Lepisosteus oculatus: one gene and its partners. The protein of the gene in region 3 purifies or fractionates together with the protein of the main gene of each other region. This does not show direct contact. Links are inferred from orthologs where the notes say so. Each region holds a gene or a part of one and is shown on either strand. Other genes may lie near its edges. The genes, in order: fbxw5, phlpp1, wdr20a and phlpp2.

Region 1 (7,365 bases), on a different chromosome or scaffold from region 3:
TTTTAAGAGTTACTCTGAAGTTAATATTTTATTGCAAAACACAATGAACACAACGCAAAAACGCAAGATTCAAAATCCGTCCGAAATACTGTATTTAAAATACCATGCAGGGTTTTCCTTGAGCTCCGTGAAGTTTCCCCCCCTACAGACAGCACAAACGATGAAACCCTCCTCATTCGTTAGTGCCGGTTTGAGTCGCTGTAAGTAGCGTTTGTGCTGCTTTCGTTTGCGAGATATAGCGCCTTGTTTTTTCGGGTAATCACCTGACTATCTACAAGGACGTTTACAGGTACCAACAAACTCGGTAGTTGAACTCTTGATTGTGATGAAAATAATGGGGGCAATTTGTTTTCCGGGCCTGTCTGGTCGGGTGGGGTGGATATTTAAATATATTTCAATATAGCGCCTTCTTTTCCTGGCTGTGACGTCACTCTGTGACGTACAAAACTGCAAAGGCACGACCACCAGATCTTTCAGTTGTGATCTTTTGATCAGTTGACCCCAGACTTTGCAGCCTTTACCCGAATTAACAGTCTTACATTTAGGGTGGAGATAGTTCATTGGGTTAGGTGTTTCCCATCATTCTGTTCCCAGAGCTCTGCAGGGCAGGGGAGGGGAGGAGGGGCAGGCCCATTCTATTGCAAGGCCCAAGATGACCAGGAGGGGGTGCTCCGCTGGGAGCCAGGTAAGAAGACGGCGTGTGGGGTGGGGCGTTGGAGCAGCCAGTGAAAATAGCTGTGTACAGCGTACCTGTGTGGACATGTTTCAGAGCTGCAGAGTGGGCAGGTGGTCCTGGGGCTGACAGGCAATATCTTGGGCAGCGCGGGTCCTGGCTTCAACCTGGAGGCAGGGACAAGGATACTGAGAGACAGGGGCATACAGGTGAGCTCACACACCGAGAGACCAGCACACACGTACAGCGCGAACCTCGTATCACCTGAAGCACTAAGACCCAGAAAGGTGTTGCGAGTGCAGTCTGAAGAAGAAGTCTGCTTGAACACGTGGGTTTTCTCACATTATGAATCCCCTAGTGACTCTTAAAAGACACCATCACCCTGAGAAGGGCTGCTGATGTGAAGGCCGGTGGCAGGTATGCGGTTTTAATGAGAAACTCCCCACCAGACGCTGACTGCTGTGCAGGTATTGCAGTCGGGGCGGAGCTCGGTGCTTGAGTGCAGAGTGTGTACATCCTGCTGTCTGCTGTGCACTATTGCCAGGTGACCAGCGCAGAGCTGAGCGCCGACCTGCAGGGGGTGCTCCAGGACCTGGAGATCCGGCGCTACATCTTCCTCACCTCGCGGCTCTTCACCGCCGCTCTTGCCCTGGTGAGTCTCTGCCCAGCAGACCCATGGCTCTGAGGCAGACAGTGGGCAGAACTGAGGGATGGTGGGGGTGGGGGTGGGGGGACAGGGAGGATGTTGGCCGGGGTGGGAGGAGAGAGGGAGACGGGGGGCAGAAGGAAACGGGGGAAGAGATCAGAAATGGAGGCAGGGGAGGACCAGGACAGGGGAGAATTTGTCCTGCCGGGTCAGTGTGTTGCAACTTTCCTAGGTTCTGATTGCATTAAGAAGGCCGGGCCAGGCCTGTAATGTGCAGACGTCTCGCTGACCTTGAGCCCTTTGACCTGTTCAGGTGTGCTATGTGTGCCTGTGGCTGAACCTGTACTGCAGTCTGCGGGCGCTTGGCGTGGCGATGCACTGGTCACTGGGGGTGTGGGTCAGCCTGGCGTCAGCGCTGGGCACAGCAGGAGGGCTGCTCATTTTGCACCGGCGCCGCTCACAGGTATCCTTGACCTGTCCAAGCCGGTCCGGGTGAGTGTGTCCGAGTGGTTCTGACCCCAGCCTCTCCCCCTCTCCCTCTCTCCCAGCTGAACGTCAACACCGATGTCAGGATGGCGGCTGTCAATGAGAAGCTGCTCAAACACAAGCTGCTGGCAGGACTGACAGGCTGCACAGACCGACACCCGACTGCGCTGAGAGTATCCCACATCGCGGGGAGCGAGGGAGTAGATCCAGAGGGAGGGTGTAGCGGAGGGGCAGGAAGAGCAGGGACACGGGGCAGGATGTGGGGAGGAGGATTCACACGTGGGGAGAGATGGAAAGAGGGAAGGACGAGGAGGACGAGGGAGAAGGCTGAAAGGAGGATGAGAATAGGCCAGTTGACGTGGCTCAGGCTGACAGCTCCATCGGGAAGAGAATCTTTCTTAACGCCCTCAGCTGTGGATGGTGCACTTTGACCTCTGTCCGTGCAGACAGGCCCTCGCTGAGCTGATGGAGCACTGGAGCAGCTCTCATCAGGTGAGGCAGGGACACACCCCAGTGAATCTGACTGCTGTCACGGTGCCATTATCACAGCACTGATGCTGCAACAGGGCTTTCAAAAACTAGACAACTAAGGGCTTTAAGTGTTGTCCTGTACCTGCGGGTGCGCAGGTTTCCTGTTTGTGTGCTGTGAGTGTGTCGCTCCCCCTTTGTTTCCAGCTGGAGCTGCAGAGCCGTCTGAGCCAAGTGTGTGTGGTGGTCACCGGCTCTTCCAGCCAATCGAAAGAGGAGGGGAAGGCGGGGCTTACAGAGGAGGTGCCCCTGCTGGCCAGTGTGGGCAGAGGGGGAGGTGCCAAGCAGCTGTCCGTCACTCAGTGTGTGTGTCTGATACCCAATGGGACACCACAGGTAAGGATCACCCTGGAAACAGATCAGCTGATGCTCCATCCCAATTCCCCCTCTCTGTTCCTCTGTGAGCTTGTCTGTGCGCCTCTGAAGCTGTTCTGTCGCTCAGGAGCTGGCGGAGTGTCTCCTGCTGTCGTGGTCCGGAGTGTACGTCCGACTGCTGGTCCTGGGACATCTCCCCTCGGCTCCCAGCCAGTCCCACGCCGGCCTCTCCCTCACTGCCTGTCCCTGCCAGCTGGTCCAGAGTGCCCTGCTGGACAGCAGTGTGCCCTGCTGCCCGGTGTAGCCTGCCCCCAGGCATGGCCATGGGCAGGCAGCGAAGGGCACTGCCCAGGGAGGATCTGAATGATGTGCGTCCGTCTGCGTCTTTCGAGCTCCCTGCTCTCTGTGTGCATCTCCCCTGTCTCCCCCCCGTCTCCCCCAGTCTGCCCAGCCAGGACAGGTCTGTGTGTCAGCTGTCTCCCTCCTCCCTCGCACTTTACCACTGTTACAACACAAACGCACGGTTTAGGGGCTTCTTTTATTTTCAGGAACACCTCAATAATGTTTTACCAGTAAATTATTTTATTTTGTTGTTTTTTCAACAGTGCAGTTCCTCTTGTGTGGTTTTGGGATGCTCACTGTGTCACGAGTCCTGGGTTTCCACAGGCCGGACGAGCGCTGACTCACACGGACTCCAGCACTGCGGCCCCAGGGAGGAAGACGGGGCTGCGCTGAGTCACGGGTGGCCGATGTTCTTGCCCGCTTTTGTCCTGTTTGTCCTATTTGTCCTGGGAACTATGAATAATGGCTGTAAACTGGTATTTGTTTTTTCCAAATTGATCAGTACTCCTGATATTATGTGCCAAAAACAAAACTCCTTTTTAAGTGTTACTCATATTTTAAATTCATAACTGTTCTGCAGAATTCCGATGTCATTTCCATCCCGTCTGTACAATAAAGAATTTGAAAGCCACTGGGAGCAGGGCTCTTCTTGCTGTCTGGGATGTGAGCAGATACAACACAGATGGCTGCAGTGTCTGTTGTCTTGTGCTGCTGCAGAATGGAGCAGAAATCTGCCTCATTAACACAGCCTCTTCATTAGTGTGCAGTTTAATTGCTTACACAGCCACCAGGCCGTGGTTGCTGTCTGACACAGAGCTGAAAATGTATTCATGGGTCAATCCCCCGCATTTCAGTACAGCAGCACAAAGTGTTAGAGAGCCAACAGAACGCAGTCCTGACCGCACTGGGCCCCACAGACGCTCCACACAGCACAGGCACTGACTCTGCAGACAGATCATCAGCCCAGCTGTGGGTTTTCATGAAGCAGTCTGAACACACACAGTGTCTGAGCGCATTAAAGATCGGTGATCTATGTGTATAAATACACTCAGTCAGGGAGGGTGTTTACGTAATATCCATCCATTTTAGCTCTCACATCAGCCTATGAAAGGGGTGGATGTGCACCTCCAGACCACCGTACTGGCCAGTGCAGACAGAGCCAGGTGGCCAGACCCTGTTACTGGAACAGTGACACATGACACTATCACCATGCATGGTGACAGAGAAATGTAGATACAGGGTGGATATTAATGTAATGTCTAATGGCAAGAAAGCCATGGAAAATTAATATCTGAATAATCAGAATGAGGTAAAGCAGTACTGAGCAGCTCTGAATAGAGGGCTTACATTATCAGCAGGCCAATGGAAAAAAAATCTGTCATTGATTGCTACTGCCTGGCGAATCTCAGCACTCTGAGATCAGCTGAGTGGGCCTTTAACGCCAACAATCGGAGCAACGGAGGCTAGGCGGCTGTAGGTGAAACTTATTTTCCTTAAATGTATTATTTTTTGGTGTTTCTGCAAATATCGATTATTTCAAGCAGATGACTAAGGTCCAAGGCAGACAGAAGCTGCTAAGGTCGCTGTCCTAAAGTGATCCCGTTGTCTTATAGACGCACCGAGTGCTGCTACCGGCCATTTACATCGTTATGTTTACCTATTTTCAAACGCGGTTTTGCAAAGTTACTGTGGAAGTTATGAGACGTTCAGTGTCCGTGCTTTGACGCTGATTAGTTGTGGAAGACAGCGTCACCAGGGCCGATGGCGTGAGATGGTATCGCTGTAGAGGTTAAGAACTATGGCGAGAGAGACGACGAGCCTGCTCGATGAAGCGCACGAAAGTAATATTCCGCCGACCTGTGCTGGACAGGCTCCGATGCGGGCCGTGGGCTCCCCGTGAAACCGCCCCGCAGCCCGGACGACAGAGAGCACTCGCGTTCAGGGGCTCCCCTCCATCCCGCTCCTGTCAGTTAGAGATTCCGGGAAACGACCGGGGCAAGACGGCCCCTGATGATGGAGCGATAAGCGTGTGTCCGGTCTGCTATGGGTTCGGTCACGGGGCACCGCTGTTCGCACTGACGCGAGTGGGAGTGGGAGCTCCTGAGCTCAGAGCGTGAGAGTGCGGGCCTGCCCTGCGCAAGCTGGTCGGTGCCTGAGGAGTTCAGTACACCTGAACACCGCGGCACCTTCCCCACGTCTCCAGCCGGCCATGATGGGTTTGTCTTCCTGCCTGACCCCCCTGTCACCCTCTCCCCCTCGATGTTAGGGTCTCCAGGGTAACGGCTCATGTCACAGTGTGTCCCACCCTGAGAGCTGTGTCAGTCACAGGTAACTCCCCCTCTCACTCTGCCCTCTCCGGTCTCTCCCCCGCTCCTGACCTGCCCCCCCCCCAGGCGGCGAGAGTCAGGATGTCAGGATGGACGCTTGTGCCCCCGTCGCTCTTCCGGACAGCCTGCTGCTCGAGATCTTCCTGCTGCTGCCCCACGATGCCGTGCTGAGCGCGGGCCTGGCCTGCCGGCAGTGGTACGCTGTCTCCCGGGACGAATTCCTGTGGCGCGAGCTCTTCTACCGCTACTACCGCATCCCGCGCTCTGTGCCCAGGCACCCAGGTACCCCGCGAGTGACGGCGCCGCTGCCCGCCACCCCATGAGCTGGGAATGTCTCGGGTTCGATCAGTGAGCCGATGTCTTTGACTCGGTGTGCGCTGGAATGGTCATGTGAAGAATGGAGGTTTGGGTTTGTTGCAGCGGGTGAAACCGGACAGAGATCAGACTGCTGTGCATGAGTCTGGCTGCCGTCCCTGCCCTGTGTGTCTCTGTCCTTCGGCTCTGTCTTTGCATGTGGTCGTCTGATAGTGGGCCTATTTCCCCCGAGTCGGACTCTGTGTGTGCCTGATTGTCTGGCTCTGGGAGTCTGCTTGTGTGACGGTGTCTGACGCTGTGTGTGTCTGCAGCCGCGGAGTCCTGGTACAGCGAGTTCCAGAGGCTGTTTGACTGTATCCCCTGCGTGGAGGTGCAGACGCTGAGGGAGCATCATGACCAGGTGCTGCACCTCAGCTTTGCTCACCGGGGACACCTGCTGGCCTCCTGCTCCAAGGACTGCACTGTCAAGGTGCTGCTGCTACCTTCCCCTCACTGTCACTGTCAGTAATTCTCACAGTCAGACTTTCCCCTGCTCTTTCTCCACCTCATTCTCTGCCTCTTCCTCCCCTGGTCAGATTTGGCGCAATAACCTGGAGATCTCGCTGCTCCACAGTTCCAGTATGCGCCAGTTTAACTGGGGCTACACCCAGTTCTCCCAGTTTAATGTAGACGACTCTCTGCTGCTGGTTTCGGGCGTGTACATCGGGCCGCACCACTCCTCCTCAGGGGAGATCGCCGTCATCAGCCTGGGTGAGTGTCTGCTGCCCCTCCGGCGGTCAGCCTGATGGCCTCTGCCCCTCCGGCGGTCAGCCTGATGGCCTCTGCCCCTCCGGCGGTCAGCCTGATGGCCTCTGCCCTCTCACGCTGCGCCCCTTCTGCCTCCCTCTCCTGCAGCCGATTTCTCCCTCCTGTCCCGCGTGAGGAACAAGCCGTACGATGTGTTTGGCTGCTGGCTGAACGAGACTCACCTGATCTCGGGGAACCTGTACTGGATTGGGAACATGACCTCCTGCTCCGTGCTGTGGCTCAACAAGGCCTTCCAGGTCAGCTGCCGTCCTGACACACTGCTCGCGGTGTCTTCCCTGTCCGCTCCCTCTGTATCCTGCCGCCTCTCTCTGTGTGCAGGATGTGGAGTCCGAGAACGTGAACGTGGTCAAGCGGCTCTTTAAGATCCAGAACCTCAACGCCAGCACCATCCGGACCGTCATGGTGGCAGACTGCCGGCGCCACGACTCCCCCGACCTCCTGCTGGACTACGAGGCGCAGGCCGCCGCCCCCGCGCCCCCCCGCCGCGGCCCGCTGGTCTTCGACCTGGGCTCCGACAGCGAGGAGGAGGAGGAGGAGAAGAGGGAGAGGGCGGTGGCGGAGCCGCTCTGCACTCGGCCCCCCGAGCAGGACCCCTCCTTCGAGGTGAGCCGGGCTGCTGGAGCTGCTGTGTGTTGCTGCAGGGGCTGGGGGCAGGGGGCGGGGGGCGGGCTAGCGTTCGTCAGTAATGAGTGACGTGCCAGCGCTGGTGCCCTCTCCCAGGGCAGGGGCAGCCCGGTGATCAGTGAGAGGCAGCTGGAGGCCAGGGTGGCCCGGTTTCTGGGGAAGACGCGCACACGCCCTGCGGACCTGGCAGCGGCTGACGGCATCGCGCAAACTGACCACAATATCTACCTGCTCTTCACCACGGGCAGCCTGACCTACAGCCCGCACCAGATAGGTACGACCTCTGACCTGCACCCCACACC
Region 2 (7,812 bases), on a different chromosome or scaffold from region 3:
ATTTGAAACAAGCTTAGAAAGTTTAAAGCAGCCAACCCAGATATGTGGTCAGGGCAAAGCAAGGGTCAAGTATCCAGGGAGAAGTAAGCAAGAATACAAGAACAAAGCTGAAGTGTCAAGCTAGGATCAGTTCTAAATTCCATACCAAAGCATCGAGCATTGTCCAAGCAGAGCATTAATATTCTGAACCACCAGAGGGAGGCATTGTTGCACAGTGCCTGCAGGTGAATCAACTTTCCTGTCAGAATGCAGAATGTCAACACCTTGTTAATGTAATATTTTTTTAAAGGGTATTCAAATGAAGGTGTTACATTGAATGATCAGGCTGCTGCTCACCAATCAAATTTAATCATGTTTCTTTTGACATAGGGTACTTATTTTAAAGGGCAGCATGGTGGCACTGTTAGCATTGCTGCCTCACAGCACCCAGTTCCCAGGGTGCTACCGGTGTGGATTTAGAGTTCTCCAATGTTGAGTTTCCTCACACAGTCCAAAGAAACTTTGGTAGGTTAATTGGCTTCTGTAAATTTGGTGCTGCTGTGAGTGTGTGCATGTCTGTGTCCACGTGTGCCCTGTGATGGACTAGGGTCCCATTTAGGATATATCCATCCTGTCTTGCACCAATGAGTAGTTAGTAGTTACACTTAGTTACAGTTAAGTAAGTGAACGGGATGTGATGATGATGATCATGACATATTTTGGAGAATAAGAGTTGAAGCACAGAGAGAGAAAAAAGGCCAAGGTTATCCATGATATATTATTTCCAAGTTTATTAGAAGGCAACATTATAGTGTAATATGCTACTAAACCAGTGAATAGAAAAGGGTTACAATAAAATTCAAGATCATCACTCTTCAGGTCTTTGGCATTACTAGTATTTCCAGTAGTTTTACGTTTCACACAGTGTTTCTTTCATATAGCCAGTTTCCAACAGTTATATGAAAAGCAAAAAGTAATTTTAATTATTCCAATCATTTCCAAGTATGTTTTGCTAATTGCCTGGATGTTGGCAGTGTAACATACTATATGTCACATAATATTGAATCCAACTCTGCTTTCATTTAACCAACATTTAAAAAGCATAACAATATAATGGTTAACAAAATGGGGACACCAGGACATTACTTTTTAAATCTTAAGATATTTGTAAGTGAACAGTGTTAAAATACATATTTTATGGCACTAATGTATATAATAGTTAATTGTAGGAAAACGTTTTTTTTTTTATGGGTTGTACACTGTGGTAACCAACATTCACCTGGCTGCAGGGACCACAAGCTTAATCAGCAAAAAAAACACAACTTAAGCAACATTGCTGCAGCGTTGGGGTGGCATGGTGGAGCAGTGCTTAACATCACTACCTTGCAGCTCTGAGGCCCTGGGTTAAATTCTGAACCTGGGGTGCTATCTATGTGGAGTTTGAATGTTTTCCATGTGTTTGCATAGGTTTTCTCTGGGTGCTCTGGTTTCCACCCATAGTCCAAAGACATACTGTTAGAATAAATGGCTTCTGGGAAAACTGTCCCTAGGTTTGAGGGTGTGTGCTTGGGTCTCTTACCTCAGTTATGTAGCATACTGTCAAAGGCCTATATGTTGGTAGGTCCCAACAAATCACTATTTGGTCTGTGTGTGATCTTATCTGGCAAGAATGTCGGTTAAATTAAAATCATACAGATATAATGTAGCCCCCCAGATTCAGAGGGTTTTCAGGACTGAAGGGCTCAAGGACACACACCTTGAATTAAAACTGGTACAAACAGCACCAATTTATGGGAAAAATAGGTTCACCAACTTAAGAGAAGAAACAACTGTACCATACCCAGCCCTACACCAACAGATCTTCCCATAAGCAGATGGCCTGTCCAAATTTACTTCCTCTGCTGAGAGAGGGGACTCTGTAGGAGAGAGAGCTACAGCAGCTCAGCAGCTATACCCTGGTGCTCTACCATGGCTCTGGTACCCATAAGGGAGAGGAGAGGTGATAGTTGGTCCTCTGCTTTGAACGGTAGAACAGAAGCCATTATACTATTGCTGTAGTGTCTTGAGGCTTTTCAGCTACCTTTAATTTGGAAGTGTGGGTATGCAGTGCTTAATAAAGTGCTTGAATTCCTTAATGTGTTGAGGTAAGTCAAAAGAACACACCAACCTACTGAATTGTGTAGACTGGGGCAGTCATCAGCTGATATTTTTTCAATTGCAATAAAAAATGCACATAATGCATCATAGTAATGCACATACACAGATCCAGTAAGTAGGTAACATCTGTTTAAGTATCACTTTACTGTATAGGCTCCCTTTGGAATCCAGTAATGAATTATCCTTCTCACATATGAGGCTGTGAAGGATATTACTACAGTTTACATTAGTGGCATGTCTTTTATAGTCTGCAGTGTGTTGTCTATGATTTTGTAACTTACCCCCTTTTTAAATTAATCTGTGATGATGGTGCATTCTGCTTTTATACATCAAGGCTGGAATTCTCTTCCAAAAGTGCTTAAGGGCCTTTTGTTATCTGAAAGTCTATATTTGTGCTCTTTTAGAATCGTACTGATAACAGTATATGTTTAAGCGTTGCATTTTCATTAAATATCTTGTATTTATTTTGTAATGGTAAAGGTTGTGTTTTTACTTTATATGAGATGAGACATATAAAATTAAGTATTTAAAAAAATATTTTAGAATGAAGAATTAACGTTCTGAAACTTTCGGAAAAACAATTTTCTTTTTCTTTCTCATCTTAACCACTAGATGTCACTAATGTCAAACGTACTCCTGACGCATATCTTAAAAGTATCACTCGGAATCCGAGATATATTTATGCTTTGCTCCTAATGTTTCAGGGATAGGCCGTGCTGCTCCGATCCTTACCAGGATCTTGCTAATAACGTATGGATGTTTGGATGTCTCTCAAAACAACCTCCACCAGTCCCTAAACAGGTCGAAGTGGTTCACGAGAAAGAAAACGTCGTCCACAGTCACAAGCTGGTTTCATATTCTTTGACACCCGGTCTCTTGATATACAGCAGCAATTACTCACCTGCACTGTAAATGGCATCTTGTGATGTCCTACCAAAGTGCAGACGTATTTGAGAGCAACAGGCTGCCGCAAGTATTAACTTCACGGAGCTTTAAATGTGGGCGGCTACTTTAAACTTTGGTTTAACGAAGAAATGATTAATTTCAACAAGAAAGTGTATTTCGATATTTGATCTGTTGAGGTATAATTGAGTATTATCCTCCTGTAAAGAACTCGCAGAAGGGATTTAAAAAAAGATCAAGGATGCTTGGATATATAGTGAACTACTAAAACTTTAAGTAGTATTAAAACTATACAGTTTACAGAAGGGTTTTGTTTGATTAGGTCAGTCAAACGGACTACTTTGAGCTGGATGATATAAGTATGATTTATTGGTGCCACAAGTATAAGGCCAGACGTTAAGATGCCACACAGGGTCATGTGGAGGTCCGGAAGGATGCTCACCTCACGAGTATCATTCAAGAAATGGCAGGAGTAGACTGAGACCGACGAACTACTGGAAACCAAAGAAGCAGGATTCTTTTTTGTCTGTAGCTACTCATATGCAAGTATCTCAATTGTAACCGACAGTGTATAACCAATTCTAAAATGCATGTGCTTCAAAAGAAAGACTTTCATTCATAACACATAAAGTGTTAAGTAAATCTAAGTAATGTTTTTTTTATATCTTTGAGGTTTTACATTACATGTTGGTAACATACTAGTATATTAGTACAAAATGTACTCTTAACAGCAAGGGCTTTGCAGTTGTCTTTGTCAAAAGGTACAGGAAGGTCACAGAGCAAGATCTGTAATGTTTACGACTATCAATCCTCAATATAGTTATTTAAAAGCTACTTTCAACTTTGACCGCTAAAATAGCTCAACTGCTCTACGACATTTGCTGCTGTCTGGATGTCGTAAAATATTTTTTGTACTTGCTTTAATATTCCAGTTTTCCAGGGTTGTCTCCAGGTTGTTTTCCAGGTTATCTGGTTTTTAGAGAGCAAGTTGTGTACCGATATTCATGCTTTTACATATTTACTTTCTGCAACTGAAAACACTAAAATGGCTCGTCTTTACGCAAAAGATAAAAGTAAGCAAACGCTGCGTTATATTATGTAACAGTCCACTAGCATTCACACATCTGTAAAATGGTCTTCGTTATTGTTTTTAGTGTATGAGTTTGGGTCCTAACAATGTTTTACCAAAGCGGTTTCAAGCGTTCAAGTTTTTTTAACAACGCTGAATGCTTTTAGCTTATTTTAACAATTGGAACAAGAAGATCTCGAGATGAAAACAATACGATCACACACCTGAAAAACTCTTCACAACCGAAACATTACGTATTTCTTCTTTCTTTTCACTTTTGCGGGATTAAAGTCTTCTTGTTCCTTACTACCCGCACACCTCCACACTACAGCCTTTTTTTTTTCAACAGCCGGGTGAATATGCGCAGACATTGAAAAGCAGGTGTAAAAAAACACAGCACGTTCATGGTTTCGAAATAGAAAGTTTCTGACGACTTTTAGAATATGTCGTTTTCTGCTTGAATAGTTCCACCTTTCCTGAGGGGGGCAGTGTCGGAAAACGAAAGATGTTTACACAAAGCTCTTTTCGAAACAGCCTCCCACATTTTAGACCCTCCTCTTTAAGATGTCACCTTATGAATATAAACAGAGTTCCGCTGACGTAGGATGTCTGTCGACATTCATTTAATATTCCCGCATATAATTTTATAATTAATGAGGGACTGACGCGCCCCCCTTTGCTTTTTACTTACGCTTGAGTTTCTCCTGCCACAGTCTCCATGATGGCGGTTTCGGCAGCTGCCGAGCGGCTCTGAGAAAAGCAAGAAACGAACCAACTGGATTTACAATGGCGTAAGACCCGGAGTGAGTGGCCAGCCTGCGCAGTTTTGCTTGTGTATTATTTTTTTAATTAACACATTAAGTGTATTTTCTTCGTTATTTCCACTCACGTAAAATGGAAAGTGCGCGGGCTGTGGTGTTGGACGGCAGGTTGGCACTGGATGGCTCTTCCACAGCGGTCGGGACAGCTGCTTCGGACTCTGAAACTGGCAAAATAAGCCATGCCGGTAAATTGAAGAAAGGATCCAGCTTCACTACCGCTGGTAGTGGGGCTGCAGCGGCGGTGGATGATGGCGGAGGCGGCGGGTCGAAAGCGGAGAGTGGGGGTCTCCGAGGGACATCTGCCCCTCTCCTTCACGTAGCAACCAGCAATGGAAATCATCAGGTTCAAGCGGCCACTGGTAAAACTAGTACAAATCCTTCTCTTCCTGCAACCACGAGTGCTTCAGGTTTGGCCAGTAACACTAACTCACTGCTGCTTAGGAGGAGACGACTGAAGAGAAATCTCTCGGCTGCAGCTGCAGCCTCAGCCTCTGCCTCCTCCGGGAGCCACATGAGCTCCGCTTCGTCCTCCGCCCTGAGCACACGGAGCCTGGATCGAAAGATGCTACTGAGGCACCGTCAGGTCATGCAACTGCAGCCGGCAGATCGGGAATGGGTGAGAGCGGACCTCCAGCGGGGTTGCTTACACGTCCACGACAAACTTGTGCCCTCGTACCTCAGGCCAGTTTTGTGCACACTGGAAACCAGCGCCGGGGAGATAGCGCGGCGGCTGAACCAACTCGGCAGCAAAGGAGGAGCCGTGGTGAAACTGGTCGGCAAAGGGAGCCCCACGACAGACTTAAACGGCACCTGCAACGGCAGACGGGTGGGCAGCGGTGCCCAGCAGAGGCTGCGCTCCCCCAGTGCCAGCCCGGAGGTCGTGGAAGTGGCGGACGGTCCTGACCAACTTGGTCATTTCAACTCCGCGAAACATGCGGAGTGCAGGGAAGGCCTGGCATCCCCCCCGGCAGAAAGGCTGAGGTTGCCGCTGGCGGAGAGCAGGAAGAGCCACAAGCGGCAGCAACTGGAGACTGATTCTTCCAGAGTAAACCCGCAGTCGGAGCGGAAGAATTTTACCAGCCCTTCTTCGGATACCAATTCAAACGCCGACGTCGACTTGATGTCACCTGCCGCCGATGCCGCGCTTGTACGCGGCGCAGAGGAAAGTTGCGGACCAAACTCTCCTTCGGATGTGGACAGCAGCACCTGCGAGGAGCTCAGCGCTGCGGCCCAGCTCGCCGACCACCGGGACTCGTTCAGCGATGGCATCATCCTGGGTACGGATACGTCCACCAGCCTCAGCCCGAGCTTGGACAGCGCACCGGAGGGGCTCGACGGTTTCGGGAGTTCCTCCGACGAGCTGGATCTGGACAGTCAGCTGCCCAGCTCCATTGCCCAGGAGTTGCAGCAGGTTGCCCGAGAAAGCGGCAGCGCCATCTCGAATAACAACAACGCAGTCGGCAACAGGCTGTGCGGCTGTGAGCTTCCCAACGGAGCGGTGGCTGACCGGGGACCAGGCGTCAGACACGACCCGCTCAGCTCGGCCAAACTTCCCTGTAGCGGCGGCCAGTGTCAGCCCAGGCCCAGCCTGACAGGCAAGGGCGCCGCCAGGCACACCTCCACCTGGACAGCGGAGTTGGGGTCTGACCGCTGCTCCTCTGCCCCGACATTGTACGTCCAGCTGCACGGCGAAGCAGCGAGGCGGCTGGAGCCCGAAGAAAAGCCCCTTCAGATACAGAATGACTACCTCTTTAAACTGGGATTTAAAGACCCGTGGAGGGTGCAGGAAGAAGGGATGGACGCCGAGATAGGCTGTATGATACGTTTCTACGCAGGTAAATGGATGATTTGGAAACATTTTTACGTCGCATAGCCAGTTGTGTTTGCAGTTAAATGGGTCGCATTTTTTGGCCGTTACGAACAGCTTTAATTGTGCGCGGCAGCTACAGTTGTATCCCAGCCAGAAAGAAGAGGGTGTTTTTAAGTTTGGCGAGGTTTGTGTTCGACCTGGGCCGAGCACTGCCTTTCCCGAGCTGCCGCTAGTGTAAGCCTAGACGCCTGCAGTACCTCTGTCATTAATAAAAGATTAACTTTTGCCTGGGCAGCCAGTGGGTCGTCTTGGTGGCCGATCGGCTTTTTTATCGCCGCGGCATCTGGAGGCAGCAGGTGCAGGTCGCTGGCTCCTGGAAGAGACCGTGTAGACGTGAGGGGATGTGTAGTTTCATTGTCCGGAATTTGTATTGAATAACTCAACTCACGCAATCCAGGATAAGTCAATTTGCATTTGATTTCAGTACATTCCAGCAGAATGTGTTTTAAGACTTGTATTTATTGGTGTGAGTGTAGGTTAAATATCAGTCTTCTAAAATCATGCTTAAACAGATTTAAATACATTAAAATAACGAGACACCTGACAAACCACAGAAAGTTTATACTTGGTTGCAAGGATTTAGTGATGTTGCACTCCGGAAGTTTAAGCAGTGTGATTCATAATGTCATTGGAGCTCTGTGTACTTTCTCACTGATCCAGTCTTTTTAAAAGAGTTTTAAAGTTCATTCACGGAAGGAATAGTTTATTGTATGGATGAGTACACAGAAATTGTGTCCTGTTTAAATTTGTGTAGCCAAATTTGTTTTTAAATGGATAATAAGATCATCCATTTGTAGTAGTGTATAGAATAACTGTAGAAGGTAATCCCACTTTAGATCTTTGCAGGACTCTTTTGTGGGTGTGTGGAGGTTTTTCAGAAACCATGTTTTAACTATGAACGTATTCTGAAATGTGCTGTGGTTGCTTTAGATTCTGCCCATTATTGCTTATTGCCGATGTCAAAGTTCCGTGTTTGCTTTGTGGTTTTAATTTAATCCACTTGTAAAAGGTGA
Region 3 (6,911 bases):
GGCGCGGACCTAAAGAAAGTAACAGTGATAGGGGCACTTTTTGCAGCTGTCCTGGTCTTCCCTTTTAGGGATGCAGAGTTGCAACAGGGCCCCGCCAATCACCCCTGCACCACCGGGCCCTGGCCAGAGAGCAAGGCCTGCCCAGCGCAGCAGCTGTCTGTGAACCTCACCACCACAGCTGAGGCCAAGACCCGCTCCTTCACATGTAAAAGATAAAAACCTGGGACCGGACGGATCCTCCGGCCTTCTTTATCCCAACCCGACTGTCCATCACACCACACAACCGTCAACGTGCTCCCAAAGAAGCATACTCCTGTCTATTGTGCACGGCAAAAAAGGAAGCACTAGCATTCATATTCTCAGTATACATCAGATTAATAGATTCACATGCGTAGGATGAGGCACATTATACAACACCCAACCCCTGAACCTTAGCTGTCTTACATAAGCAAAGCATAAAATAATGTTTTTTTTTTTTTAACCCATGAGAACTGAAAACAGCTTTGAATCTCCCAGGATATACAGGATGTTACTATGGTCTGTGTAGATATTCCAGGAGTGGCACGTGTTTTTGCTCGTCTGTGATATTACATCAATGTACAGTATGTTTTGTGGGACTAGGTTTGTAATATTGTGATATTAATACGATGCTGTTTACATTTGTAGGATAACCAGAGAAGCAGTGCTAGGAGGATCTGAAGAATAGTCTTTAGCACTGATAGGCAGAATGATCAGGGAAATTATTTGGGACAGGTAGAGAAAAACGTCGTTCAATCATTGCTATGATTAAGATGTATACGAAAATACGGAGGCATAGACATAGATCTTAATTGCAATGCTCCTTTGCTTTCTGCACCTTTCCTGTACTGCAACTGACCGTTCATTCATTCATCCAGACTTTTTCATTTGCCTCAGGATAAGAATTGTGTGATAGTCGGTTGTTTGTGCAGTTTTCTAGTGCACGTCGCATGTGTTTCGTGTTTTTATTTCAGTGAAAATCCGTAAAAAAAAAACTGACTGCGGAAATGCAATTATGGCAATGCACAAATTCGTTTATCCGTATTTTGTCAGGTAATCTCTAGAAAGATCTCGAAGTGTGCTGAACCCCAGCTTGCGCAATTGATTAAGCATCGCAATGTCAGAGCGAAGGTAGTCCATATGAGTTTCTGTAACCTTCAACGAGAACATGCTGGAAGTTCACGCCAGCTCTTCCTGGTAGGAGGGCCCAGCTGTCAAGCATGCTAGACGGAGGAGGGCCAGCGACAGTCTTGGAATTTCTTGTTTTGATTCAGGACTGTGAAAGTTAACCCGGGATTCTAGAAAGACGCGAGGAGAGATGTTTGTAGAAAAAAAAATCTCACCTTTTCATTCTAGAAAGCTCTATATGTAGGATTGGATCTGCAGGGCTTTTTAGGATTTTTTTTTTCCTTCAAGAAAGGTCGTCCTCACCAATCACTGAAGACTTCAGCGCGGCCCTCATCGACCATGTGACTCTTGACGCCGGGCGCTTGCAGTCACTTCATCGTTGTCTTACATATTACTCGTTCATCGGGCAGGCACTTGGAAGTGTTTTTTTTTTCCTTTCGGTTCACAAAAAGACATACAAAAAAAACCCAATTGTTTCTGCTCGTTCTCCTTACAAACAGCTCCCAGTTTTTGGATTGTGCAGAAGGGGTCATCGGATTTTGCATGAAAACGTTTACGTAAATTAAAGAAGGTACTAGTAAGGTTCTGCACAGGGATAAAATGTGAGGACTCACCCAGTGTTACAAAGTGTGCGATCTATCCTCTATAGCTGTTCAGATCTATAATATCAATTCCTAGTTGGACTCTGGAAACGGAAAGCGCACTGTTGGCTAAATTTCATATTAGCGGCATAATTCGAAGGGTAAGAAAATGCGGTAATTAAAAGGTAAAAAAAAGATGGGGTTTTAGTAAGCTTTTTGACCAACTTTTATAATGTAAACGTTTTTGTTTCTGCACTGTTTTCTAAAATGCTGATAAAATGCTGTTTTTGTTTACTCGTACCTTTGTCTTTATTATTTTATTAAACTTAGCTAGGAAAAAGATATAAGATCTTATTTTTGTCTAGACAAATGTTTAGACACGTTGTAATTTTTTTTTTCTATTAACTATACCAATACTTTTGATAGATACGTTAGGTCCCAAATGTACTTTAATTTAATGTACAGTACATGCTCTTATCAGTTTAGGAAAAGGTCGTTAATATGCAGTTCTGCTCTTAAAAGTAATGCTCTTTAAAAATAGTCAGGACAACAGGATAACGGGGAAAACGTTATCGTCACTGCATTTTTAAAGGCGTGGGACACAAACATTTTCAGGTTTTCCCTAGCATCATGAAATATTTGATCTCTGCCACCCTTTAACATGAATTCGCCTCATGAATCTAATATAATAAAGTTCAATGCGTGTATCTTCGACTTATTTTATTCGAGCTTTACGGTCTCACGTTTTGGTCGTGATGTTGTCAACCTTGGTTGGCCACTAGGAGGCGCCATCGGTTCGCTTTTTGACGCAATCTGCACCCGTTATCGCACTAAACTGTACCACACGCCAAAATAACAAGAGTACAGCAACACAACTTCATTACAAGAGAAAACAAACGTATAAAATGAGCGCTTATTAACCTGTTTTGAGGTCATATGGGGGTTGTTGCGTGTGATTATCCACAGCAGGTCAATATCAGCAGAGACGTGGAAATTTGGAAGTCAAAGTCCATAGCAGAGCATAGTGATTCATCCGGCCCGAGCTCATCCTAGTTACCTTAGTGTTAAGCGGACTAGGACCATGTGACTAACCCCCAGCCGAAGATGGGACATAGGTTCATCGCAGGCATTACCCCCTATGGGAACTATGGGTAAGGTACCTGGCTGACGGGTACATTAGTGTCTGCAGCGGTGACTCGAACCCGCAACCTGTCAGTTATGAATCCAGCGGCTCGTTCACTTCTTTACGCTGTTCCCCTTCAAAAATGGTTTATTTGTTTTATTTGAGAGCCCAGGGGCGTTGATGCCGTTGAACGGGATATAAGCAATCAGGCCTGCACTCCCGATGTCTTCCCTCACGTTGCCGCCGTACATGTAGTGTTAAAGAATAAAGAAGTTCAACAGTGTCAAGTCCTGTCTCTTGTACATAAACCTGACGAGAAACATATCAAAGACTGGGATGCGAAATCGACTATCCTCACTCGAGATCGGATCATTTCTTTAAGATCTGCGCACTGTCTGGATGTTCAGTGAAGGTTTTCCCTCATAATACATTTAATTAATTTGACCCTTGTTTTGGTAGTGGAGCAAGGCACGGTTCTCTCCCTACGTGCCATAACATATTATTGTTATTGTTATAGTTTTATTTCATTTTTTATGGATGGACAATCGCGTTGTTTCATTTTGAAAGACTGGTATGCTGGAGACTATACCAATAAGCTATATGTTAATGTTAAAAGCAAATAATAACAAATAAAAAATACCGTGAGTCGTACATAGATCTATATTATATGCGTACACATGTGAATACAGTGTTTTATAACCAATACATAATGCATTTTTACCCGATAACGTGTTAGCAGATAGCACGTTTCCAGCCTTGTAACGTGTGAAAGACGTCGTCATCAGAAACTGTGAATATTTTGAAACTCTCATGCAAGTTTCTCTTTTAATTGACCCTTTGTGGGTGATGCCCTTGACAGCACTGCGGTGTGAGCGCTGACCAGCGATGGCCTCCGGGCGCAGTCCACCTCCGCTCTTACCTTGACGAGCCCTGTGACCCGCACTCCACATGCTATTTTGCAATTAAGGAAGAAGCACGTGAATTCCTGGATCAGCTGACGAACCAGCGCCATGCGAGTCGGCTCCGCGAGCAGCAGTACGCATGCTCCGTGTGTAAGATCCGGGCTTGGGGCAGGATGAATGCTAATTTTCAAGATGGCGGCGGAGGGAGGAGGGAAGGAGATGAACGAAATTAAAACTCAGTTCACCACCCGGGAAGGCGTCTACAAACTCCTCACTCACTCCGAATATAGCCGCCCCAACAGGGTGCCTTTCAATTCCCAGGGCTCTAACCCCGTCAAAGTCTCCTTCGTCAACGTCAACGACCAGTCTGGTAACGGCGACAGAATCTGTTTCAATGTGGGCCGGGAGCTATACTTTTATATCTACAAAGGCGTCAGAAAGGTAAACAGGACGTTACGTTCTCCAAGCCAACGGCTCTTATAGCATTAATGTTTGCTTTTAAAGTAGAGAAGTAATGGGGTATAATGCGGCTGACGCAACCAAAGTGACACCTACCTCCAGTTTGCTTTTCGCCTTTCTTGTTAAACAGTTGTGGTATGCACTGAGCTGACAGCTGAAAAAGGCCCTGTTTCACCTGCTTTGGAATGTGCATCTAGCGTCCGTCATGGTCATATATAGACGAAGTGGTGCACAAATGTGTCTAAACTTGCGTGCGTGAACTTCACGGTGTCTGTGCTTCAATCGTTCGGGACGTGACGTGCGGCGACAGTCGGGTCGTGTGACAGATCTGCTCAGTTAGCTTGTGTGTGAGGTGCCACGCAAAGCAATGGATGTGTCTCCATTTGGTTACTTGTTTCTCATTTTCTCGGGGTTGGTGTTTTATCCGTAGTTGATCTCACTTTCCAAGGCGACCCTGTCTTGCGGAGGCGGTACGCGAAGCAGAACTATATGGTAACTTAGTACGCCTAGCGTGCGAGCTGTTTTGTGTATTGCATGAATTTGCCGTGACCGACACGCAGGTCTCTCTGGTTGTGACTAGGACAGAGGCGTAAGAGGAGACGTTAATGATCTGAATTCAATGTGTGAAATCATGCGTAAGGTGGGCGTATTGTAAACTGTTAAACACTTTCAGCCTGGATGAGCGGAGTCGCTGTTCGACGCAGTATGTAATTTCGGGTGTCAAGAGTACTGCTTGATGATTATTATGTGGCTTAAGTGCCCTATCAGACAACCTTTCGTTTCTTCAGCAGTTTGGAAACCCTTCGTTGAGGTCGGTATTGAAAATGTCTGCTCTGATCTCTGTAGAAGGCTACAGATTTGATAGAAAATCACACTGTTTTCCCACACCGTGAATGTACTTGGGGGTTATGGTAACTCTGGGAACACAGGTAATTTGAATGTCGAAGGATTAAAGCCACGCCTTATGTTGGAAAGTCATGCTGGACGTTCACCGTGCCCGTATACCCAATAAAGCTGGCATTGCTCAGCAAGTTTGCAGTGTCATTGGAGTATGCGGGAATGTTTCACTTTTGAGAGTTGAGCGTAATACATTTATGTAGAGGAGGGTTGGAAGAGTACTGCTGAAAGGGTATTGTAATTTTAAAAAAAAAATACTTCAGGTAATAACCCCAGATATTTAAAGACAGTCTGTCATATCTGTTGATTGAGATTTGTTGAGAACACTGCGGTAGTTCTCACATGTTGAGAAAAGGTTCAAATTAAAGTGCTTCCTGAAAATGTCTGGTTTGATTAAAATGGGAATACTACGGCATTACATTTCACTGAACAGCTTAGTATTTAATTGGAAACCTGTGCCAGGCTGTGTACTATATCCTGCTCTGTCCTGAAGTTGATTTGAATGCTGTGTTCTTGAGTAATGTGCCTCAAGGCTTTCAGTAATACATTCCAGAGCTGACACTATCCCATTACGTGCCTTATCCAAATTTCCTATATCATCCCGTTTTTCATCACAATTGTAAAGTCTGGGCTCTGAAAATACTGTTCTAAAGCTGATGGTGTTCTATCTGCTTGTTCCTTCTTTGCTCATGGGTTTATGATGTATTTTCTATGTACCTGGAATCACTTCTTGGTGGCACAGTATAGACAACTGTAGATGCTTGATTTACCCTTGAGTTCCTAATTGTCAAGAGTCCGAATGTCTATCTGGGTGAATACATCAGGGTTTTCTCTTATCTTTAGTCAGTACATAGTACATATTTCATTCATATGTACATGTATAGCTAGACGATGTTTTGCATTGTAGTGTTTGTCATCCATCACAATGCCTATGACTCCCTTATTGTAGGACACTTAGGACTCAAACACATTCTCAGAGTGTGGAGATTTTGCCACTGGGTGTTGGGGGTTCTTCATGGAAAAACTTGTCAAATGCTTTGTAGTCTTGGGAAGTGAAGTCTATGCTGGTCTCTTTGCATGCAGACAAAACTTTATGTGCAAGTTTCTTTGCAAGTAATCTGACGCATGTCTAGAGAAGTGACTTTACTAGTGCCTCCCTCAGTAGCAAAACTGAAATCTATTACGATTTGTCTTGACGCTATGTCCGCTTAATAATGCTAATATATTTTACAGTTAAGAATTAATAAAAAAACTGTACAAAGAAGTCTATGCTTAAAATGTACATATTAATTTGCATGTATTTAACTGCATATGTTGCTCATGCAGTTACTGTTTAAAGTACCAACTCTTCTCGTTAGACAGATGGACTTAATTCTCTTGCAAGAAAGCACATTTGCAGATCTCAGTGGAACCTTTTTTATCTAAGTGAAAATGCTGTTTTTCCTCTTGGATGGTCTTATTAAAACTATAAGAATGAGGAAGGATTTAGAGCTATATGAACTCTTCAGTTTACCAGTGTGACTGATAGTGCAGATGACCAGGTGGGTGAAAGTCCTCTGCCTGCACATGGAGTGCACATTTAGCAAAGAGACAGAGGATACATGCTGGCCAGGCACTCACTTAAATCTGGGCGAAACATGTGGTTAGTAATAGTAGTGCAGTATGTCCTTTACAGAACTAACTAGGATTGTAACTTTTCAGCTTTAAATTTCTCTCAAAGCCATATTTCAAGTTGCCTTTTGATCCATGGATCTGTGATTCATTTTCGTGCTTTAGTTTTTGTTGAAAGAGTTGCAGGGATAT
Region 4 (7,807 bases), on a different chromosome or scaffold from region 3:
TGCCACGTTATGTATTTTTAGTTGATAGAGGGGAGGAGCAAGGCAGTAAAGTTATTGCTAAGGTTTGAGCGGTTTAAAGGTGCTTTTACTGTTCATTGCAGTGATCTTAAAGGCTTTTTTATGTTCAATTGTTTTTCTTTGCAGAATGTACATTGGGCCTCATAATGAATCTTTATCTTCCATTCTATTCTAAAACAGAATGGAAGATCAAGATTCTCCTGACTCATGTTAATAAGTATGTTCACAAATACACCAGTATGCAGTTTAACAGCAACGACTAAGGTTTGTTTTTGTCTTCATCCAGAAAGTCTTAATTTTTTCTGTATTCGCATAGCCATTGACTTAATGTTTGTACATATAGATGGGAAATAATTTTGAATGTAATGCTATGCACGTAGTACTGTTTCTTCTGTTTTTATGTGTTTACTTTTTGTCATTGTGGCTTGTGATTTTAAAATTTTCTAAAAGGAAGCCTTTTGTTTCAGCACTTTTTCATGTACCCTTCCAATAGCATAGTTGTTTGAGAACTTTTGTTTCGTCTTGTCAAACGTCACTGAGGACAAGACATGTCCTGCAAATAATGCCTGATATCAAAGCAATGTGCCTTTTTATATCAAAGATTTGACCAATCTTTCCCTGCTTTCCGTAAATCTAGATATGTAATACCTTGGTTATATGTACATGTCTAAAATTTCTGCCTTTGAGGGACTGAAAAGATAACTTAAGTAATTGCTGTTGAGTACAGATTTTGAGGTAACTCCTATCAGTTTAGTTAGCTTAGGAACAATGCTGGGAAGTTGAAGGATTTATCAACTCACAGTAGGAGATAAATTCAATATTTACCGGTTAAAAGTGATTTTTTTAAAAAAGCTGACTTTTATGACTGAAAGTGAAACCTGATTTTAAATGGTGGATATGTTGTCCCTTTTTGGTACATTAGGTTCCAAGGTACATGTAGTGCTCCAAATTGCAATGTGTTTTCTTAGCTCTTGCAAACAAACATCATCAACTAAATACCTCACATGTTTTTTTGGGGCTTCTGTTTAAGAATTGTAAGGCATACCTTGATTATGACGAGCATAACAGGACCATGAAACAACTTTTGGGATGTCGGGGGGCATTCATTTACATAAATTGAATACTATTGATTGTGCTACTGAGTTTTTCTGTTACACTGTTTGTGAAGCTACCAGCATTGATTTATTGTGTAGAAATATTTTGCTTTTGCATTATTGTTCTATATTAACTGCTAACTTTTCGTGACCAAATCAAATAAGATCTAGCTTTTGAAAATAAAATCTTCTGTAGCAATGCCATGTGTATATGGAACAAGAGATGTATGACGTGCTTTTAGGGATTATTTTTAGACTGAACAACTTAATGCAATCAAGGCTTTTCTGTATATATTGATCACCTCAATTGCCCACCACCCCTTTTCAGATCAGTTTTCTAAAGATCAGTTTTATTCTGTCAACATACACGTGTAGTGTATTGTTTGAAATGGACTAAAATAAATCTAGTTATTTACGTAATAGTCAAATTGTTTGGCTTTCCCTGTTTTCATGTACATTACAAAACAATATAGCATCTGCTGCCTGTATATTGTATATAATTGTAAAAATGCTAAAATATCCAATTCAAGACCCAGTTATGAATAGCTAGGAAGAAATTAATTATATACAGATATTTAATAAACCTTAGAAGGATAGTTACTAATTTACTCCTTTTCATTGAATTTTTGAAGACTTTGTTCAGTTTGGGGTTATGTAATGGATAAACCATATTTTTCCTTTTTTAAGGACAGACTGAAATCTTTCAACAAATTAGTCATTTTAGATGTTTGTAAATTTTTATCTGGCTAAAATTAAAACAGTTACTTAGCCATTTCTTTTCAAAGATATGTAATTTGATAAAGATGTTTCTGTTTGCTGGTGGATGAGATTTTGTGGGATTTTTGAGGTAAAAGTCCAAAAAATATACTACTGAGTAACACTGTACAATAACACCAGAAACAACAATGTATTTGTTTTGATGAACTTCTTAATCTGTTTATATCCTCTTCAATGGGAGTGGGCCCCTTGCCAAAATGCAATAAGCTTTCTTCTGGATTGAGCTATATCTTATTGCTTCTTCACTTGATACAATCAAACCCAATGGCTGGTTTACAGACAGCCTAAATGTGGCCTTCCATTGCTTCATGTAGATGATGTACATCAAGCCTAACTAGATGTTCTGTCTTGCACTGCTATGATACGTATGTAGCTGGGATGGTCTCCTATTCCCTCTCACCTTGTTCTTTTTTTGCCATTGCATCTGATTCTGTTATGATTGTACGTGAAAGAGAAATGGTCACATTTACAGAAAAGAAAAGTCTGAAGGCTGCCCACTTCCCTTACCTGCTTGAGTCAACAGATAATACAAGAGGTATGGTGGAAAGTAGTTTTTTTACATTTACTGTAGTTGGAAATTAAGTCAGATCGGCTTTGGATGGTCAGTTTTGACACACCTGTGCATACAACTAAAGGCTTCAAGTTCAAAACTAGAGTGTTAAAAACAGACGTGTTTATCAAAACTTAAGGATTGATGGACCTGAATAGCAGGCTGCAGCTGTGGCAAGGGGCTTGCTACTCTTGTGCTTTCTGATGCCAATTGGGGTCTCTTTGCTCTATGTCCTGGCAGTTTGTCATTTGTAGTCTTTGTTATTATCTAGCATTTCTTTTTTTAATCACATTCTGCTGTGCAGCCGTCCTTTAGAAAAACAGTAACTTTTCTTTCCATTTTATAACACAAAAGCTGTAGTAGAATATTCACATTTTCTGTACTGGCAGCACTTGACCACATGGGAGTGCTGTTAGACACTGGGGAGTTGCAGCAAAGAACAAAATTGGACTGTTTCTCATTGTGTCCAGTGTTTTTTATTTTATATTCACCAGTGTATTTTTAGTTTAAAGGGTGCAGTGTTACCCCATCGTTTAAATTCTTAAATTCGCCTGTAAGAACATTGTATGCTTTTAAGTGTTGAAAGAACTGGCAGATTAGGGCACTGCGGAATTGAAACAAATCCCTGGGAAGTGTATGAACAGCAAATGGACCTTTTTAAATCCACTAATATAAATTGTTGATATATGTTTGCCTATACATGGTTGTCTTACTTCACTCCATACAAGGTAAGACACATCGGTCGCAGTGGTTGCAATCTTCAGCTTCAGAGCTGCATGTGCAAAACAGTGTAAATACTCTCATTTCTACTCTTGATGTATCTTTTTAAAATGCAAAGAAAATGTTCAACATACCTCTTTGCTGAACATGGAAAATTAAAAAAAGTTTAAATATCTGTCATTTAAAAAAAAAGTCATAGCTTTGGGGATAAAATGAAAGTGAGCATTCACACCATTCCATTTGATGTGATTGTTTTTCACTATTATGTTGGTTGATACACATGTTGTGCTTGTGTGGGAAAGGAGGAGGGAGTCAGGAATCCAGTTTCCTTCCCTTTTCTTCTCATAGAAATAAAGTCATTTAGTTGGCGAGTCTTCGTATGAAGTTCCCCTTTATGAATCTCTGGTAAAGTACCACATAAAATCTGATTGGTAAGAAAGGATTGTTGAGTTTGAGTCCATTGTCCTGAAACCTGGAAGGGAATGCAAGGCTGAAATTATAATAAGGCTGTAAACAATTTCATGGGACATTTTAGAATTCTGCTGTGTATTATTGTCTTTGGGTTGGAAAAATTATGATCAGTGACTAATAAAAATTCAAAAAACGTCCATAGAAAGCCAGTGTTTTGTATTTATTTATCTGGGACTAGTAGGAGTAGTTTGTTGACTGTTGTGGAAAAATATTGGGAGGTTTTTATGTTCATTGCGTTTCGTTACATGAAAGTGTTTGTCAGAACAATTCTTTGTATAAATGGGACAAATTATTTAAGAGCTAGTGACCTGAAATCTTTTAAAAATCTTTACAGAAAAATCCATAATCTTCAGTAAGCTGCATGCGAGACACCACAGTCACTAATTCCATTGTTCGGAGTGCGACAGCAGGCTGTTCTCGAGCCACAATCAGGTTACAAACATGATTACTGTATACCCATCAACATCATAAATTGGCTTTTTTTGACATTCTCGGTGGGTCCACAAAGCCTTTTGTTTGACCTCTTGCAGTTTAGATTTTCTTGAAAGCCTTGGCACTCTGTGCGTCTACATTTGTTTTGCACGTCGGAGGTCCCTTGAAAGCGCTTTGTCCATGCTGTCTTGGTTCCTTCTCTTTTTCATGTCCTATAATATCTTTCTAACATAAATGGCAGAATGGGAACGGCACGATTTCATCGTTTCCTTGAATGCAGTTCAGAACTGAGCTGAGCTGTGGTTGTGTTTCAGTACTGCTGAGCAAGCAGATCACTGAAGGTAAAGGCACAGGCATATGCTGTTGGTTGTTGCACAAAGATTTCCATCATGGAGCAAAACAAAGGGAGACGCCATTTCGGATTTACTCTCTGTCCGCACTGCATGTCAACACGGACAACACTCCACATTTCCGTCTGCGCCTTTTAGGGTGAAACGGGAATTCTGGAAGCGAAAAAGCAAGATCACGAAGAATACAACCTGTTGAAATTCGGAACAAAGTTCATTCCTGTCACACAGGGGACATGCAATGTATGGACGTTTGTCAAGATTGATTAGTGGTAAGAGACTGACAAAACTGGCAAACAAACTTCAGAGTGAGGGTGGTAACTTAGGTAAATGATTTACAGAGTGCCATAGTGCTGGCTTCTCAAGTGATGTGAGAGAGAGCTGTCTTGTTTATACAGCTTTGTGGATTGATAGCTGTGAGATTGCCCTGGATAGGGACATCTGCTATGCAAGTGAATAGTAATTATTAAGCTAATAGAGAGTGGAAGCTAATTAAAGAAACTAATCAACCTTAAACTTTAAATTTTAGAGTTTAATAAAATGCTTTACTGATGATGGTTTATTCTCAAAGCTGTTTTGGAGGGTAATAAATCAACAGCAGATGAGCCTTTTATTTTACAGTTTAAAAGCTTTTTTTTCCAAGTAGTTAATTCAAGTTGACTAAACATTGAGGATTAAATCTCTAAAAAAACTTATCTTTATGTATTAACACTCTCTCTAGGAAAAAAACAATACTAACATCTGATTTAGTAATCCATGGGACTAGATTGTCATACGATTTTCCTGGAAGACGAGGAAATAGACAGTTTTGTACACACAGAATACCAGAATGCTTATAATCTGCAGGTTGTTGACACTGTCCTCACTTGGACGGAGGAAAGGCTGACTTGATTTTTGCATTGTCAGGTCACCCTTTACTTCAAGATTGTGGTTTATTGCCAGTTCCTTCTTGCCTGGTGTCCTTTTCTGTGTTCCCAGCCTTGTATTGGCAGGTATTGACATTTATTGAGAAGGATTTCTAGCCACACTCCATACGCAGAGGATAACTTTACCTTTGAAGGGTGTCATTCCGCGATTCGCTACAAATGTGTCAATATCGCCAGAGCTGTAAACCGCTTCGCTGAAGCTAATGAGCAAAGCTGACGTTATTGACGAAGAATCCCACAAAGCTGCAATTCTCCAGTTGTTTGCTTTTGCAACCTGCTGTTAGGATTCCTTGCCATAAGAAAAACTTGGCAGCCTTCTCCTGCAGTATAAAAAATGCGTCGTGTTGTAAATGCCCCAGTCCATGTCATACATGCTGATGCTAGGTTAAAATGTATCACTGCAAAATATGACTGGCACATTATTAGCCTCGGCTTAAATGATTTCTTTGAGCAAAGGATTTAATTGAGTATATAGGTTTATATCTCCATTAACATGTTTGATTTTCAGAGCTTTAAAATGAGATTGTTAACGTTAATAATGAGAATATAACGTTCGTTCGGAAGAGTCCATATTATCTGTTCATGAAACAAGGTGTCCACTTTCCCTATCAGGTGAATATTTGTGGATGGGGAGGATCTTTAGATTCTTCCAGCGGTCTGGATCTGGGAATGGCCTGGACGTTACAGGTAAACCAAAGATGAGGAATGAATAACCTAGAAAAGTCTCTTATCGTGAATAGTTAAGAAAGTGTACAAATATTTAAAATAATCTCGGTTCGAGTGAGGCGTCTGTCTTAATGATAGCGAACGTACCCTGATGAATAATTCAGCGCTTTCCTCCTCTGTATGGGCAGTTTTCTATGAATAATAACTCTGGCCCTGCCTTTCTAATGTATATTGATTAGATCTGTCTGACAGTCCGTGATGTTACAGTCTCGTTATGGCGTCTTAGCAGAGCTGAATGGGATTTTTTCCTCTGCTGCCCCGTGCATTGGAATTTGCCAGTTGTGAACTGGACATTTTTTTTCCGCCTTCATCTGTAACGTATTTCAATGTAAATGGAGGAAGACGAAAGTCCAGCGGGGGCGGTACCGGGCACGGAACCGGACCGAAACGATCGAGGTGGCGGCGAAGATAGCGGCTCTTGTACTGTTGCTCCGCCAGCTCCGGAGCCTTGTGAACCGGGATCAAACCAGGCTGCGGGTCGCGGAGACCTCGTCGGACCGGGCTCCCGTGTAACTGGAATACGGGTTTTGAAGGTACATGTCTCAATCATGCTCAGTATCTAAATTTCAGAACAGACACAACCCTGCCCACATTTGAAAAGACAAGGGCCGTTATTACGTCTGATACTGTTAACAGCTCTTCTACTTTCATAGCTAGTAATACTAAGTACGGTGATTAATTTTATGTGCATTTTGTTTGCCGTTTATCTTAGTGCGTGTGCTCTTGAATCGTTCTTTTAATTTATATTCCCAACTGCATCGGTAGGTATATTTTGTTAGTCTCTACCGGGGATCTGCATAGTGTCATACCGAAGCGTAGAGTTATTCATTACTGTTGCTGTCATGATGTAACCTGTTAGATCTATTTTAAATTATTTAACGTGTTTTAGTCATTTACCCGTATTAATCTCTTAACAATTATTTTAGGAAAGAAGTAAGCACGTTAGCAATTAATGTATTGACCCATAAGAGTTACACGGGTCTTAAGTTCCGGTAATGCCCTAAACAAATCTAGTCATTATATCATGAATATTTTAGTATGCATAGTTAGCAAGTGTTTTGAAACAAAGTGATTTTTTATTTGTGATAATAGCGGTGTGCCTTTTTCAGACGTTGTTTTTTTTAAAAATCATTGACATTATTTTCCTGTATGTAACCAATATACCCCGAGACCTTAGTTCATTCGATACACGAGCAGTACTAGTTAACTGTTTCCCTTATGGATGTTCCTGTACTTCCGCCATTATGTCATAATTAACTCATTAGATGTCTCAAGCACCACTCTATTAAAGATATGCGTGCTTACTTTCTACGTATGTTTGAATGTGGGCTGTACGAATATTATTCATCATTTTTTCAATGCTTCTTATCATGTTAGTCCTGAAGACTTTAATGCTTTGTAAATCAGGATGCTCTCTTCAAATGACTGCTGTGATTGCAGTATTCTGTTCGAATTGATATAAATAAATACATAAGCTCCGCATCCGGGTTAATTAAAATATCCATTGCTATTATATATGATACGGCTGCGTACACATGTATAACCTTCATAAGTGTGAAGTGTACCTCCAGAGACGGATTTTAAAGAACAGCACACAGGGATTGGTGGAAACTGCCGTCCTTTGCTAGTGCTTTAATATTACTGAAATATGGCAAACTACCGGACATATTTGCAATGCATATCTGATAAAGAGAAGCGCAAGACCACCCTCGCTCTAAAGATTGGTATGTGTTGCATGTTGGAACA

The links.
Region 1: the proteins of wdr20a (region 3) and fbxw5 purify together in Homo sapiens (co-immunoprecipitation; 3 studies listed by BioGRID and IntAct, counting the BioPlex papers as one, with this or other methods). This does not show direct contact. The link is inferred for Lepisosteus oculatus from reciprocal best matches to the Homo sapiens genes WDR20 and FBXW5.
Region 2: the proteins of wdr20a (region 3) and phlpp1 purify together in Homo sapiens (affinity purification with mass spectrometry; 4 studies listed by BioGRID and IntAct, with this or other methods). This does not show direct contact. The link is inferred for Lepisosteus oculatus from reciprocal best matches to the Homo sapiens genes WDR20 and PHLPP1.
Region 4: the proteins of wdr20a (region 3) and phlpp2 purify together in Homo sapiens (affinity purification with mass spectrometry; 4 studies listed by BioGRID and IntAct, with this or other methods). This does not show direct contact. The link is inferred for Lepisosteus oculatus from reciprocal best matches to the Homo sapiens genes WDR20 and PHLPP2.

What each region holds. Positions count from the first base shown.
Region 1 is NC_090719.1:349,277-356,641, forward strand, and holds the start of fbxw5 (F-box/WD repeat-containing protein 5), read left to right. Parts: upstream 1-4,360; 5' UTR 4,361-4,467; intron 4,468-5,383; 5' UTR 5,384-5,406; coding exon 5,407-5,599; intron 5,600-5,943; coding exon 5,944-6,101; intron 6,102-6,207; coding exon 6,208-6,382; intron 6,383-6,526; coding exon 6,527-6,675; intron 6,676-6,757; coding exon 6,758-7,042; intron 7,043-7,159; coding exon 7,160-7,337; intron 7,338-7,365. Other genes in the region: transmembrane protein 268, read left to right, coding at 595-685, 770-882, 1,218-1,325, 1,633-1,782, 1,868-1,978, 2,217-2,297, 2,481-2,669, 3,254-3,559. UniProt on the Homo sapiens protein: Substrate recognition component of both SCF (SKP1-CUL1-F-box protein) and DCX (DDB1-CUL4-X-box) E3 ubiquitin-protein ligase complexes.
Region 2 is NC_090701.1:36,367,177-36,374,988, reverse strand, and holds the start of phlpp1 (PH domain leucine-rich repeat-containing protein phosphatase 1), read left to right. Parts: upstream 1-4,794; 5' UTR 4,795-5,002; coding exon 5,003-6,764; intron 6,765-7,812. UniProt on the Homo sapiens protein: Protein phosphatase involved in regulation of Akt and PKC signaling.
Region 3 is NC_090703.1:11,287,909-11,294,819, reverse strand, and holds the start of wdr20a (WD repeat-containing protein 20), read left to right. Parts: upstream 1-3,893; 5' UTR 3,894-3,929; coding exon 3,930-4,193; intron 4,194-6,911. UniProt on the Homo sapiens protein: Regulator of deubiquitinating complexes. Activates deubiquitinating activity of complexes containing USP12. Anchors at the base of the ubiquitin-contacting loop of USP12 and remotely modulates the catalytic center of the enzyme.
Region 4 is NC_090715.1:9,959,598-9,967,404, forward strand, and holds the start of phlpp2 (PH domain leucine-rich repeat-containing protein phosphatase 2), read left to right. Parts: upstream 1-4,796; 5' UTR 4,797-6,393; coding exon 6,394-6,594; intron 6,595-7,807. UniProt on the Homo sapiens protein: Protein phosphatase involved in regulation of Akt and PKC signaling.